Struthio camelus: one gene and its partner. The protein of the gene in region 2 purifies or fractionates together with the protein of the main gene of each other region. This does not show direct contact. Links are inferred from orthologs where the notes say so. Each region holds a gene or a part of one and is shown on either strand. Other genes may lie near its edges.

The links. The genes of interacting proteins can lie anywhere in the genome.
Region 1: the proteins of SLC12A4 (region 2) and RAB6B purify together in Homo sapiens (co-immunoprecipitation; 3 studies listed by BioGRID and IntAct, with this or other methods). This does not show direct contact. The link is inferred for Struthio camelus from reciprocal best matches to the Homo sapiens genes SLC12A4 and RAB6B.

The regions. Positions count from the first base shown.
Region 1 is NC_090950.1:2,735,789-2,743,726, reverse strand, and holds the start of RAB6B (ras-related protein Rab-6B), read left to right. Parts: upstream 1-4,935; 5' UTR 4,936-5,042; coding exon 5,043-5,112; intron 5,113-7,938. Other genes in the region: SLCO2A1 (solute carrier organic anion transporter family member 2A1), read left to right, coding at 495-615, 1,247-1,367. UniProt on the Homo sapiens protein: The small GTPases Rab are key regulators of intracellular membrane trafficking, from the formation of transport vesicles to their fusion with membranes. Rabs cycle between active GTP-bound and inactive GDP-bound states.
Region 2 is NC_090951.1:20,533,360-20,541,196, forward strand, and holds the start of SLC12A4 (solute carrier family 12 member 4), read right to left. Parts: upstream 3,008-7,837; 5' UTR 2,993-3,007; coding exon 2,713-2,992; intron 1-2,712. UniProt on the Homo sapiens protein: Mediates electroneutral potassium-chloride cotransport when activated by cell swelling. May contribute to cell volume homeostasis in single cells. May be involved in the regulation of basolateral Cl(-) exit in NaCl absorbing epithelia.

The DNA of each region.
Region 1 (7,938 bases), on a different chromosome or scaffold from region 2:
CTCAGAGCCTCCTGTCTCTTTCTGATAATTATTAACTTGGGCCATTTGGTGGATCCCTGCAGAGTGCAACCTGGTTTGGGTTTGATCCTTATGTTTCGCCATTCCAATAAAAGGCTGCAAACCCTCATTTACAGCCAAGCTCTGCAGTGCAGCAGCTGGGGCCAGATCCTGATTCGCCATAGCTCCAGCTACCAACTGAGACCTCTCCCTGGTGGTGTTGAGGGGTCTCCAAGAAACAATAAGCAGTGGATAGCTTGCTAAAGCTTTCACTCGGGCTCACTCAACAAGAGTTGTTGAACCTCCTGAGGGAGGCAAAGGGACAGCAGGCAAAGTCAATAAGCAGAGTACCATTTAGGATTGCTTTGAGAGCTGCTGGGTTTGACTCCAGGGGATGAGGCATGTAGGCACACAAGCGTGCGACGCTGCAGGGCAGGAAGGGGAATTGGTAGCACTGGCAGGTGACATGTGACCTGACCCAGCTTCTCTCTCCAAAGCCTGGTTGCCAGCTCCGGCCATGTTCGGTGCCCTCATTGACTCTTCCTGCATCTACTGGCAGAAACAGTGCACCCAGCGCAGGTTCTGCGTCTACTACAACAATGACTTCCTCCGCAACAGGTACATGCACGCGCTCGTTCCACAGGATCACAACGCGCGCGCACACACACACACACACACACACACACACATACACACACACACAAATGCACACACACACACACGGCTGCAGTGTTTCTGGCTAGGTCCACAAATACCCCCCAGGAAGGTGAATGCGCCATGCTCATGCCCCACGCTCATTTGCAACATCCCCTGAACTTGCTAAGAGGCAGTTTCTGGAGCCCAGTCTTGGGTGCTTGGGGCTCCATCCTGCAGAGATGTGTGTCCTCGTCAGGTTCACTAGTCATGTTGCCTCACCAAGAAAATCCAGCTCCTTTGGGATTATTTTCAAGGCAGAAATTGGAGGACAACAAAGCAGGTCCTTCAGTTCCCATGGCCCCAGCACACCTCTAGGTCTGGCTCCAAACACACAGGTGAAGCACAGGCCATGTCCTGTTGTAGGGGAAGAATCCTGCCCTAGTGTGTCCCACCACAGCCGCGCCCAAAGCTGGAATGAGAACAGGCCACAGCTCAAGCCAGGATGAGGCTAGCTGGACTCCATTTCCTACACAGCAACAATCCTATCTTTAGACAGAACAAGGCCCTGTGTTGCTCCTGGCAGGAATGACACTCTCCTCTTTTCTCTTGACAGATACTTAGGCCTGCAGATTGGGTACAAAGTGATAGGCACCGTGCTTCTTGTCCTCATCAGCTGGAAAGTGAAGAAGAGTAAGGAATACAATGTGCAAGAGAAGGCAGCTGGTCTGGTGTAGCCTGCCCAAGGACTGACTCTGAATGTACCTCCCCAACCTGCCTGTACCCACTACCAGTACTTTGTCAATGTTTTTTTTGTGAGGGAGCAATTTCATATTAGCAGCCAAGCTCCAAACTCCTCTACTGCAACTTGCACTGCAACGCACCTACCCAGCCTGCAGTGAAACATCTCTGTGCTCCCAAGAAGGGACTTCCCAGCCAGACTCTTCGGGAGGGCTGCGATTACCCAGCAGCAGCTCACCCATGTTACAATGAGAGCACTGCCTCATGCCAGCTCCGTAACCAACCCTAGCAGGGACCTGCCAGCGTGGTCGTGAGCTAGGTCATGGGTGCCAGGGCTAGCTCTGGACTAGTCGTGGCCAGGACTGGGTCCTCCCACATCCTTTGGCGGAGCCTCGTCCATCACTTTGGGAAGAGGACAGCCTCCAGCCACGATGACTGCCTCTTGGGAAATGCTGAAGGTTTGTTGTGAGGCAAGCAGGAACATTTGAGCAGTTACAGGTCTCCAGGAAGGGGTAAGGACAGGGGAGCAGGAGCTGGAGGAAGGTCTGCAGCCCAGCCTCATCCCTTTTCCACAGAGGTGCCTGCTCAGGGCAAAGAGCCTGCTTTGGCTCAGCATGTTGCAAGCCAGGCAATGTCTGCCTGGCTGGGACAAGAGTAGGGGAGAAGTCTGAGAAGCACTGGAGAACTGTCCCTTTCCCTCTCCCTCGCTGTACACCTCACACAGGTCACTGTGGACACGTACATGAATTGTAAAAAGTTATTACTAGTGGTTTATTACAGAATATGTGTTCATTTGTTTTTTAATAAACATCACTTTTCCAATTGTGGTGTTTTGCTGATCTCCCCGTGAGATCCTTCTCCTTTCACCATGGGTTAGGTTCCTGAGACGACTGCAGGACACATCCTAGGAGGTGCTGTTATCCCTCGCCAGCTAACAGGAAGAATTGCAGATTTGGTGCACCGTGTGTTTGGTGCTTTTCTATGGAAGAAAGTCTCTCCCTCTGAGCAACAGGCCCCGTTGGAGACCTCTGGAAAGGGAAGATGGTAGAGGTGTTCCTCGCAGTGACCTTTGTAGGTCCACCATGGAGCTCCTGCTCTCCTGGCCCCGGGACTGAGGAGGTTCTACAGAGCTTAGCACCTTTCAGATTACCTTTAGATAAGCAAGGAGTAGCTCAGCTCCTCTAGGCAGAAATCTAGCCCAGGTATTTGTTGTCACACACCCAACAATTTCACAGAATCACAGAACGGTTGAGGTTGGAAGGGACCTCTGGAGATCATCTAGCCCAACCTCCCTGCTCCAGCAGGGACCTCCAGAGCATATTTCCCAGGATCGCATCCAGACGGGTTTTGAATATCTCCAGGGAAGGAGACTCCACTACCTCTCTGGGCAACCTGTTCCAATGCTCAGTCACCCTCACAGTCAAGAAGTTTTTCCTCATGTTCACATGGAACTGCCTGTGGTTCAGTTTCTGCCCATTGCCTCTTGTCCTGCTGCTTGGCACCATGGAGAAGAGACTGGCCTCATCCTCTCGACACCCCCCCTTCACATAGTTGCACACATTGATGGGATCGCCTCTTAGTCTCTTCTTCTCCAGGAAGAGCTCAAGGCAATTTGCTATCAAGCTCAAGTCAAATCTATGCAGAGGAGCACATATCTTAGAAAGCATGGCCCTGAGAGAGGCAATGATAGCTTTGTGCCCATCAGCAGTTAAGTTCACAATCCTGTAGAATGTGTTTTCTAAACTGGCCATTGATTTTGAGTGTGTGACATGAGATACCTACAGAGGCCTGAAGTGAGGGAGAACGTCAGGAGGATGCTGAGTCACTATATGTAGTGTCTCACTGGCAGATCCTGGCTTTAAAAGCTGGCTCCCAGAGGGTGGGGGTTGACTCTTGATGCCTAATAAGCCATTTACCCTAATGAACTTGGCAGCTGGGCTCCAAACCCCAGAGCAGCTTGCTGGGCTCCCTTTAGGCTGGTGGGGCAGCGGCAGGTGACATCCGAGTTGGTTGGGTGCTGCTGTGGGGAGGCAGGCCACACTGCACGGAGCTCTGTATGGTGTGGCATCGCTAGGCAGGAGTCTTTGCTACCTCTCTGACAAGACACAGACTTGGTTCCCTTGTCTCTTTGGGTTGTTTCCTGACTTGGAACTTCAAGTTTTAATCCAGGGGTAAATCTCACCATGGCCTTTCCTCACGTAACACCATCTCATGCTCCTGTGGCCATGTGAAAGGTGCTTTGGGTCTGGCTGGGTGACTACCATGGCCAGCCAGGGGGAAGAGGAGCCTTCCCTACCCTCTGTGGTGTGGTGGCCTGGGCCCTCCCTACCTAGACCTGCACTGTCACTGCCATGAGATGTCACTGGTACCCTCCTGAAGGCCACCTGCACACTGCCGTGAGATGTCTGCAGGTACCTGGAGCATGCTTGGAGGGCGGGGGTGATGCAAAGTACCTGCAGTGCACAGGGCCCTCCAACATGGGGACCCCATAGCTTGCCCTTCCCACCAAGACTGCTTTGCAAAGCCCTATTTCACCTGTGCAGAGCCTGGAGCTGCCCTCACTGGGCACCCCATGGTCACTCAGGGCACAAGATGCTGCCCGCATGGGTTTGAGACGGGGCAGGGCTGAGATGGGGCCACTGAGGCAGAGGGTTAAAAATAGCTGGCATGAGCAGTGCCTGGATAGCCTCCCCACTTGCTGCTTGGATGAACTGTGCAGCACAGATCAAACGTGAAAGGAAGATGCTGAGCGCACTCTCCCCTCTTTTAGGAGGTTAGCTGGCTGCATTCAAGGCTATCTGATAAGGGCTGGTGGGAAGGAAAAGCTGGAAAAATCAACAGAAAGGGCTTGCCCCTTCTGACCTTGGGAACTGCTATTAAGCTGAGCCTCTTACCCTGGCCTAGCTGAGCTGCAACATCGCTGTGTTGCAACCCTGCCTCTGCCTGGCAAGGGACCCCCCTGCCTGGGCAAAGTTGGCCTGCAGCGAGGCTGAGGGGCCATGAGGGTTTTATGTGAGTGGGCTGTACGAGGTCCTACCCAATGGCCCCGACATCCTGCAGCAGCCCAATGGGCTGCAGAGCCTGCCTGTCATCCTTAACTGCACGCTGGGAGGGGAGGCAGGGAGGACCGTGCGGTTTCCGCGCCCGGCATGCAGAAATGCTCTGCGCGGGGGGGAGCTGCCCTGCTTCAAGCTGTTGCGGCCAGGGCGCAGCAAGAGAAGGAAGACTCGCGCAATTAAACGCAAGGACTTATTTAAATGATGCCGTGGGGCAGCTCTGCGCGAGTCCGTGACAGACGCCAAGCGCTGCGGTGGGAGAGGCAGCACCGCGGTGAAGCGTGTGTGACGAGCGCCAGGAACAGCAGAGGCGCGAGCCCGAGGGGCACCGCTCTGCACCGAGGCCCGGCTGAGTCTCCCAGGGGAGGCGCTGGGCAGCTTCTCCGGGGGCGTCGCTGGAGACCGCACCGCACCCAGCTCCGGCCGCCGCCACCGCCGCCCCGGCCCGGCCCCGCCCCGCCCGCCGTGGGCCCCGCCCCGCCCGCCCCGCCCGCCGTGGGCCCCGCCCCGCCCGCCGTGGGCCCCGCCCCGCCCCGCCCGCCCGCCGTGGGCCGCGCCGCGCCGCAGGGCCCGGGGCGGTGGCTAGCGCGGGCCGGCCCGGCTCGGCCCGGCACCATGTCTGCCGGCGGGGAGCTGGGCAACCCGCTGCGGAAATTCAAGTTGGTCTTCCTGGGGGAGCAGAGCGGTGAGCGCGGGCGCGGGGCGGGCAGGGGGCTGCGGCGGGGCGGGGGGACCGGTCCATGCTGGGGGGCTGCTTTGGGGCAGGGGGACCGGTCCATGCTGGGGGGCTGCTTTGGGGCAGGGGGACCGAGCCATGCTGGGGGGCTGCTTTGGGGCAGGGGGACCGGGCCATGCTGGGGGGCTGCTTTGGGGCAGGGGGACCGAGCCATGCTGGGGGGCTGCTTTGGGGCAGGGGGACCGGGCCATGCTGGGGGGCTGCTTTGGGGCTGGGGGACCGGGCCATGCTGGGGGGCTGCTTTGGGGCTGGGGGCTGCTTTGGGGCTGGGGGACCGGGCCATGCTGGGGGGCTGCTTTGGGGCTGGGGGCTGCTTTGGGGCTGGGGGACCGGGCCATGCTGGGGGGCTGCTTTGGGGCTGGGGGCTGCTTTGGGGCAGGGGGACCGAGCTGGGCTAGAGGCGGCCGCAGCGGGGCACGGGGTTGCAGTGGGGTAGAGATGGGGAGGGAGTGAGGCAGGATGGCGGCTGCAGTGCGTCAGGGAGCTGCAGTGGAGTAAGGGGGACAGAGTCAGGCTGGGGGAGCTGCGGTGGGGTAGGGGAGACCAAGCCAGGATGGGAGAACTGCAGTGGGGCAGGGTGCTGCAGTGGGGTGAGGGCTTGGGAGGAACCGATCTGGGCTGGGGGGGGGTACACATTGGGGCTGGGGGCTGCGAGGGGATAGGGGCTGGGAGGGACTGAGCCAGGCTGGGGGGTCGGGGGGACAGCATGGCAAGGGACTGCGGTGGGGTGGTGGGGACCAAGCTGGACTGTTGGGGCTGCAGTGGGGCAGACAGGATTGAGCTGGGCTGCAGTGGGGCAGGAACCTGGGGGGGGGACTGAGCTGGGCTGGGAAGGAGGCCACAGTGGGGCATTGACAGCCAGCAGTGGAGGCCCCGGGGACTGCCTGTCTTTGCCCAGAACGGTGTTAATTCTGCACGTTTCCCTTGTGGCCTGGCAAGGGGAGATGTGGGGGGCTTGCTGCAGCCCCCCCCCGTCCCCCCCGAGCCAGGTAGCAGGGTGTTGCTGCTGGGCGATTGGCTCTGGCTGGCCAGAGGTCAGGGTGTGCTCTGGTAGGGGGGATCCTCTCTGCCTGACCCATGCACTGGTGGGACAAGGGATGCCTGGAGCTTTTCCTGTGGACCGTTCAGGAGAGGGTGGAGGGTTTGCACCAGCTGGGATTACAGGTGAAGGACAGGCTGGGGTCCACCCTGATGCTAGCCAAGCAGCTCAGCTTTCCCTTTGGTGATCCCCTGCCCTATGCTCACTCCTTGGAGAGATTAAAAAGAAAGGAAAAAGAGATGGGGGGGGGGGAATGCTGCAGAGTGAAAAATGGTTTGGCCAATACATGGGGCTCCAGAACCTCCCAGCCTTGCTGAGATATTTTTTTTTCCTGCCTCTATTTTCCTACTCCTGAATTGCCACCTACCTGTGCAAAAGGAAAAATGTTGCAGAATGCAAGAGGATGTCACATGAAGGGCCTGACTGCCATGGGGCAAAGTAATGGTTTTATAACTTCCTCGGTAGCTCCATTTGCAACATCAAGGAAGAGGAATTGCTGGGCTTTACTGTTCCCAAATCGCATGGTTGCAGCTTGCTTTGTTTGTTTTGTTTTGTGTTTTGTTTTGTTTTGGATTTTTTTGAGCTAGTGTAATACATGGACAGTGGTCGTTTCTCAGCCCTTTTGGAAAAGCTAAAACGTTGTCAGGGTAAAGACGATAAAGGTTTGGTGCGTCAAACAGGGAGGATTTGGTGGCAGCCTCAGCAGGAGCCTGCTTGGGCTGCTCTTCAGTTCAAGCCGCCTGATTACAGGCAGCATTGCAGGCTGCTGCCTCCTTAGGGGTGAGCTGAATGACTTCTCGCCCGGCTGATGGCATGGTAGGCTGCTGGACTGCCCATGGTGCCCATCTTGTCTTGCCCTCTCCACTTACTGCTTTGCAATTTTCTGCAATTTCTGCCTTTTCATTGAGAACAGCCTTGTGCAACTGGTGAATCCCATGGAGCCTCTCCGGATGATTTTACTGCCATATGGGCAGCAATTTTTTTTTTTATTTTTAAAGCAGCAAAAAGCTCCCAGATGTACCTTCTGGTGGCTGTGCTGTCCGTGTAGGACATTGCCCGGCCGCAGTCTCTGAGCTGCAGGATACCTCACTCGTTAACAGGGAGTGCTGTAAATACAGCCGATCCCTCATAATAACCATTTGTATTTCAACTGCACAAGACCTTGCTGGATCAGGATAGGAGGTGACAATACACCCTGCCTTCCCCAAGCATCCTGGAGAAGACCCTTGTTTGCATTCTCTGCTTCTGAGCTTTGTTCCCATATGGAACAAAAAAGGTCCCTCTACCCAAGCACCAACCCTTTACCCTGTGGCATCCAGAGCCAGCTGCAGCTAGCAAGCTGTCCGATGATAATCTGCAGATGGATGTCTTCAAAGCAAAAGAATTAGCCTGCATTTTCACAGCGTTCCTCTTCCTCCCCCCATCCATGCGCTCAGTATGGGGAGACAAATTCATGAAACAACAGTCAGTCCCTGTGGAGAGCTAGCTAGGGAAGTTGGATGCTTTTTTCCCCCCCTTTCTGAAATGTGTGTACATGCAAGACCTTTGCTGGGGTACTGGGCTCCTGATGTTTCACTCTGGCGACAGTTGTGATTCTCCCAGTGCCGTGAGGACCATGGGCAGGAAAGGCCCTGGTGTGCAGTTGCAATGTGGTTGCAATGCTGATCTCAGTTAATGGCATTCTAGTAAAGTGAGCACTCTGGATTTCTTCTCTAGGGACTGAACCTGTCATGTGC
Region 2 (7,837 bases):
CAAGACCATGTTGTGACAAATAAAGGTTGGAGTGAAAAGGTCAGAGGGAAGTCAGAATCCACGAGAACCACAGTCAACAGCTTGAGATACTGTGCAAGGAGCGTTTGAACAACAAAGCCCCTACTTCACCCGCTATTATAGACCAGTTATAGACAGTTCCGTCACCATGAAAAGACAACATACTTTAAGAACCATATCATTACTCAGTTACTTTAACCCACTTCCATTCAAACTGAGCAAGCCAAAAAGTCTTTAAATGAGGTTCTCACTAACAAGCTGCTAAAATACTAACTTCCCTGGAGAAGATTCAGGAGAATAATTCCAATAGCCAATTCCCCATTCTGACTACGGCGGCACTACTTGATCACACAGAGCAATCGGATGATGAGCACGTACAGTTCAGGCAGCCCTGCACGCATTCACATAGTGCCAGCACAAATGGTACGTACTTTGACAGGGCCACAAACTAAAACTGGGAAACTCTGCACTCAAGTCAAACACAGCTTACCTTACCTGGAACCAGGGTCCCACCACCACCAACAAATCCCTCCACAAGCCCCCAAATCAACTGCCACCAAAGGCTCCGGAGAGCTGTTTTCTCCTTTCCGGCCCACAGGCTTCAGCCGGCGCTTTAACAGCTATGAGACCCTCTGCCTTCAGCAGAAGCTTCCCATCTCCTCCACGTCCTATTATTAACGCTGCCCAAGTGTGTGAGTCTCCCGGACTCTGCACAGGATGTGGAAGGAAGCACCAAGAAGCAAAGGAGTAACACCAGGGAGTTCAGATTCCCCTCTACAGAGCCATAGATTCACGAAACCTAGCAGGAGACAGAAAAGGCTAGTGGGGAAGCGCACGCTCGTCAGCACAGGTAGGCAAAGCAGCGTATCTTTATACATATGCCCTGAAGATATGAAACAACACTAAATTACTGTGAAAGTAAATTAAAAAATAGAAGGCAGTTATAGTTCAAACAGAAATAGAGCTCAACAACTGTACATTAATAGAGATGTTACCAGATATTTATCAGTTTTAAAAGAATGAGACTCAGCTAGCTTCCAGCAGCACAGTTCTTGCGTGACAGCCTGAACAGCAGTACTGACGTGACCACAGCTTGTCGGCTACTGACAGATCGGGACGGTGAGCTGACTATCTTGATGCGTGTTGTTTGCGTGCACCATACGGGCACTCTGACACCCAAACGACAGGCAGTTTGAGTTGACCTTCCTTTAGTCACCACAGCAGTAGCTTCCAGGAGTCACACTTACTAACCCATGCCCAAAGCCAGCTAATGGGGAAAGTACTCTGCCAAGTCTTCACTTCAACCTGCTGAGATGGGTGGAAACCAGCTATTTGCATCACTGTCTTATATATTAACTGTCTGTTAGGTAACCTGAGGTTAAAACATACCTTTTTACAAAACGAAGCCAAGGCCTTGCACAGCCTTTAGGGATGGAGCCCCAAATTAATTCTGTGATAACAGACACGTTGGGAAAGAGAATTACGTTTCACCATTCCAAAACGGCCATGCTAGAACTCAAAAGAATTCATATAATGGACACCAGGCCTACGTAGTAACAGAAAACGAAATCTAAATGTCATTTGAAAACAGAGTTTAACAAAAAAAATCTACACATTGGAAACTGAGGTACAGATCACAGAGAACCGAACAGGGCGTCAAGCCACGAACCGGACGCTGGTGCCAGGACAACTCAGGATCACGCTCCGCCAAGCCACCCTTCTTTCTTCCTCAAGCCCAGGCCCGAGGGGAGCAGGCTGCCCTCAGGGACCGCTGCGCGCCTCGCGGTGTCACAGAGCTTGCGCGGAGTTTGGCTGCAGGCGGGCGAGGAACTCGGGCACTTACAGACCAGCCTGGAATCGCCCCTGAGTCACAAAGGGCGAGTGGGAGCCCTCAGGGGGTTCTCTTCCTGAGGGTTACAGGACTAAACGCAACCAAGGCAGGGGGACGAAAAAAAAAAAATAACACACACACGCACGCAACAGTTTTCCAGAAACACCCCGCTCTCCAAATTTAACCCTCCTTCCTCTGACCACCGCAAACACTCATCGCCTTTACGCTGATTTATACCTAAAGGTGGGAGCCAAAGGCCAAGACAGGCCGAGCGCTGACACTAGCTGCCTCATCACGAGAGCTACTCCCACTCCCACTCCCCCCCCGCCCCAAAATCCCCTCCCCCTTACGTGAGCCTCTTCCGTAATCGGAATAAATTAGCCACCAACAAAAAGCGGCTATGCCTAACAGGAACGGCAAGGCGGGCACGGCGCACCGGCTGCAGCGCCTTCCCGGGCGGACACGTTTCTCTGACATTACATAAGGGGGGGGGGGGGGGGAAGCAACCGGCCACCTGAGAGCTGGCTCAGCTCACTGAGTTTCTGGTCACCGGCGTTATTTAGGCAGAGGAGCGGCCCAAGCGCTCGGAGGTGCCTGCGCGGAGCCCGCTGCTATCGCCCGGCGGCGGCGGCAGCTTGCGCGGGGGCGATAACGCCGTGCGCGGCCGCGGCTCCTCCGCCCTGCCCCGCGCACCTGCCTGCGCGGGGGCCCCGCGGGCTCGGCCGAGGCTGAGAGCCGGCGGCGACGCCCGCCCCGCCCGGCCGCTCCCCGGGCAGCCGTTGCCCGTGGCGGCGCGCGGAGCCATGTTGGCCCCCGCCGCGGGCGGCGCCGGCAGGCAGCGGCTGCCCCCCGCGCGCACTCACCGTCCGAGCTGACGGTGTCGTAGGGGTCGGCGGCGGCGGCGGGCGGCGCCGCGGGCGGCTCCCGGTAGTCCACCCAGCTGAGCCCTTCCACGCTGTCGTAGTCGGCGCGGGGCTTGTCCTCCACCGGCACCACGGTGAAGTGCGGCATGGCTGGCGGGGCGGCGAGGGCTGCCGGCCGGACCGCGGCGAGGCAGGCGGGATGCGGCGCGGAGCCGGCGGCGCATTCCTGCCCCGTGCGGTCACTTCCTCTCAGGAAACCGCGCTCCTCAACTCCACCCATTCCCCTCCGAGCGGCGAGGCGGCGCGGCGGCAGCGGCGGCGGCCGCGGGGCGGGGAGGGGAGGGGGTGTCGCGCCGCCGGGCGGGCGGCGCTCAGCAGCGGGGGCGCGCAGGAGGGGTCGGCGGCTGCGAGGCGGCGCGGGGCGGGGGGAGCCTTCCCGCCTCGCTCATGTCGGCGGCGAGCGGGCGGGGCGGGGTGGCCCCCCGCGGCCCTCCCTCGCCAGCGCTGTTTTCCTGCCTCGGGGCGGCTCTGCGGCGCCGTGAGCGCGGCGGGCGGGGCGGCGGCGCCCCGATACCCCCTCATCACCCCCCACCCCGCGGGGCCCTGAGGGCGCCGCCCTGCCGCGCCGCGCCGCGCCCCGCCCCGCCGCGCGCCCCCTCAGGGCGGGCCGCGCCCCGCCGCCATTTCCTCGGTGCCGCTGCCCACCGCGGCCTCGGGCGAGCGAGGCTTTTTCGCGGCGCTAGGGAGGGCTCGGCGGCTGAGACGCTAGGGAAAATAAATAAATAGATAAACAAATAAATAAATAAATAAATAAATTGAAAGGGTCCTGTTAAGCTTTGAAAGCAAAGGGTGTTGGGTGAGCAGGGCTGGCGACCCGCACGGAAGAGCGGGGCCGTGGTGCGCCGTTGATCAACGGCAGGCTAACTGAAGGCGTGCTGTCAGCCTCTCAGAGCCGGTTTATTTTTAAGCGAACTGAACGTTAACTGCACACACCACAGCTGGCCCCGCTTCCTGCGCGTGCGGTGGCCTGTCACCCTATGCTGGCCCCCTTCACCCGCCACCTGAAACTGCCCGAAATAACGCGTCCAACCGAGCGGGCCAAGGAAAACAGGAAGCGCCTGGGAGAAGCGCGGGCGAAAACGTGACGCTTGGCCATCTGAAATTTTAGCCAGGGCGGAGGGCGTTTCTAGCCCTGCGCCGAGCAGGCTGCCTGGGTGCAGGAGGCGCCGGGGCGGGCGCCTCGGGGCGGCCGGAGCGGCGGGCCCAAAGCAGGGCCTCCTGCCCTCCTGTCCCCCCGGGAGCAAAATTCGAGGTTGCCTGCGCGTCTGAGAAAGCTGGGGCCAGCCCCGGGCGTCAGAGCCTGCGTTCTGTGTGGGGGAGCCCTCACCTGGGGTGTAAAGACGAGTTCGCAGTCCGTAACGCGGCTCACTGTCTCTGTCTGAAAGCTAGCCTTGGAAGCAAAAGGATCTCTTTAGCGTATTGAGTCATCCTCAGGAAAAAAACTCAAGGCAACAGCGTGTGTCTTCCACTATAGAGTATCAACTCCAACTTATTTTTTTAGATGTTTTGACTAAAAATACTCTTTACTCAAGAAATCGCTGTACAGTGACAACTAGATCCAGTGCTGATGCAAATTTTCTGCAGTAGTCACTTATTTTTCTAACACTGCTATTAGACAGCACTGAAATCCCACAGGAGTCTATGGAGGAACATAAACCTCAGAGCAGAGGAAGACAATAGAGTTCTATTTTCCCATTTCCTGTGCTCAGAAAAACCTTATTCTTAGCTTTCTGAATGTGTCCTGCTTTCTGACAAAGCAATCTTCACATCACTGAGGTCGAGAAACGTGTAATGAGCAAGAGAGAGACAGACAAGAAAGAGAACTCTCTGTTCGCAAGAACTAAGTCCACTTTTAATTAGTTGGGTTTGGAAGTAAACAAGAAGGATCCATGCTGTGGAGTGACTGCAGGCAAGGGGGATACAGGTCTCCCAGTTCACTTAACACAAACTTGCTGATAGACCACCTCTGGGGAAAGCCAGAACAATTGCACCCCTTAATATTGATCAGACAGGTGGAAAGACTTCTAAGACTTCTCTGTGTTTTTATATAATCTACATTTTAGTTACGTCTCTCTGCTCTGCTTATGGAAGACAACCGTGTTTCTTCATTTGGCTGTGGGTATCTTAATTACAGGCTCACCATTTTTAGAGGAGAAACGTGTATTTTCCTCTATTCAAAACTTACAGTATCTTGAAGACCAAGGGTGTGATTTTTTTCCAGTAGCTCTAAAATTAGCACTTCTGTAAATACGATCCCACTGAGGTCTGTAGAGTTCTACCAGTAACTTCTGTGAGCATATTAGCCCACTTCTGAGAATTTAGAAGCATTTCTCATCATTTTAGAAGCACTGAAGCTGACAGATTGACAACATGCTAGTGCTCCACTTAGCCCACAGTCTTGTCTCCAGCAATATTAGTTGCAGAGAGAGTTTCCAGAGGAAAGGGGAACAGTTGGCCAAAAAGCAGCATTTTCTTTTTGACCCTCTGAGGTTTAATTGGTGTGATATAATCAGCCGGACAGCGGCCCCCAAGAAAACAGGAAATGTAAATATTAACTGGTAGGGGACAAAGCAGAATTTTCTATAGGAGGAAGGCAGGACAAGAAATTGCCACTAAGCAAGTTAGTTCACGCTTAATGTCTTGTCGTCTTCTTTCCTGTTTTCCACTTTATAAGATTTTTGAGTGAAAGTATGATATAAATAAGGTATCCTAGAAACAGGGGACAGGGATTATAACAACTACATTTCAAGAGTTAATGTTTTTGGAGTCATGTATATTTTGGAGAAAGAATTAAACTAGGCACTTCTTTCTCATCTAGGTTTTGAAAGCAGGTCTGGCAAGGAGCTGTCTTTCTTTAGATGCCAAAAATGCATCTAGGCCACTGCAAGATGGTTTAGTATCATGAATTCAATGGCTCTGAAATTCTACGCCATGAGAAAAAACAAAAAAACCCAAACTCATGTACATATACCAGCAACTCCCTTACTTAGAATGGGAACTTTATCCAAACGTGAGAGGAGAGATTTGGCTCTAGGAAACTATTCAAGTTTATTGAAGCAAAAAAACTTATTTTGTCTAAAGACAATGACTCTTTAGTAGTTTGTGGCCAGTCCACGTTTGGAGGCAGGAAGTTACCTGTCCTTATCAACTCTGTTGTTTAGTATCTGTGTCGTAAGAGAACTGAAATTTCAATCTGGATGATGTTCAGCTTTCTTTTTTTTTTCCCTGAACACAAATCCTGATTCTTACTTACGAATGATATGAGTGACCATCACAAGCTTAAGAGTTGTCTGATAGGAGACAGGAATGAGACTAGATGATCTGGAAGCCATTTTTACATCAAACAACATTGTCTGTCTTCTCTTATTAAATAGCGGGGATGGAAATTACCTGTTTGCTACAAAGCTAAATGGAATTTGCGATTGCAGTTTCACGTGGGTACAGACTGGTCAGTGAAAACAAAAGAAAGAGCACAGAGAATGTATTCGTTTCCTTTTTTTCAAAGAGAGAGGAGAAATTGCTCTTCTCAGAAAGAAAGGCTAGTGGTTTCACTAGGAGAGACATTAAGGCCAGCTTAGCAGAATCAAGTCTTATTAGATGAGAAAAGGCCTGAGTTTTGGTAATTTAGTTTACGTTAACAGTATCAGTGAAGTCAGCAGCCTGAAGATCAGCAAATATGTGATCATTTCCTCTCCAGTACACCCTCAGGAACTGCTTTCTAAACTGTTAGTTTATTATCTGCAAAGCAAAGACCCAGTCCGGTTCCTATTTAGCAAGCCACTGCATATTTGTGAACTAACTTAAGTAGGCTTAAGCTTCCAGCTGAATGGCCAGTATGCTTTGGCGGTTAACACCTATGCCATTCAATTCAAAGGGAAAAGTTGTATGAGAAACTCATTGCCTTCTGGAAGGGTAGTCTGTAAACTGCTGAAGAGCCTAGTGTAAATCCTCAGGACAGGCAAGCGAGGTCAAATTTGTCTTGAACGCTTTTTATTACAGATGACAACACTCAAATAATAAAAAAAAAAACAGCTTGGCTTTTACAGCCTAGCATGAAATAGTGGTTGCACCCCCCCATTGGCTATCACAGAACAAAGTTGACTTAGGAAGCGAGGTGTTTTATCTGGTCCCTGGCAGACAGTAATTCACAGATCCTTGTATGCTGCTCATATCATCATCCTAGGAGGAAGTTAAAATCAAATTAAGATCATTTATTAGTGACCACTTTTAAGGGTATGGTAAAGGCAACAGCCTGCATCAGCCCACCCAAGGGGGTGTAGTACGCGCATTGGAAGCCCCTTCTACATGAGCTCTAGAGCTTTGCTTATGACTGACTTAGCAATATCTGATGTTAACTTTAATCAAACAGCAAAAAGTAATTCTTGTTTCATCTTCTTTTCAATGAAAATAATTTGTCATTGGTTTAGGGGTAGGAAAACCCAGCATCTGAAACTGTGAGTACAGCTTTTCTCATCTTCCCTTCCTCCTGAATTTAATGGGCGGAAGCCTAAGTTTAAATGAAATCATTTAATTTTTCTAGCTAGGAAAAATCATGCAAAAAAAATGTGTCATAAATTTACAATTCAGATAATGAAACATTTTAAAATTCATCTATAAAATTGTGTTGGCACTAACGTTGCTTGGATTGCTTTATGATAATATGCTATCATAGAAAGCTTTGCAGAAAAATTAAATGAACTTCCTCTAAATGAAGCTTTGAAATGCCTTCTTGGTGCACTAGCCTGCCTGGTTCCTGCTGTCATTACCAACCCTACCGCTACGTCCCCGGGCAGAGCATGGGGCACGCTTAGAGGTATAGGCATGGGATGCACAGGTCTAGAAGTCTAAGAGAGAACATCCATAGCTGTGTTTATCCAAAATACATAACATTTCTTGAGTGGAATACCTCCATTGAGATGCTTTAGATAATAATAGTCATATTGTATCTCTCTGATAATACAGACTAGTGTAATGCTTCTCTTTCTTTATCAATGGGACAAACTATGAAACTATAATTGAAACTGCTTGAAGCAATGGGAAAATTCTGAACTATATTACATGAAAT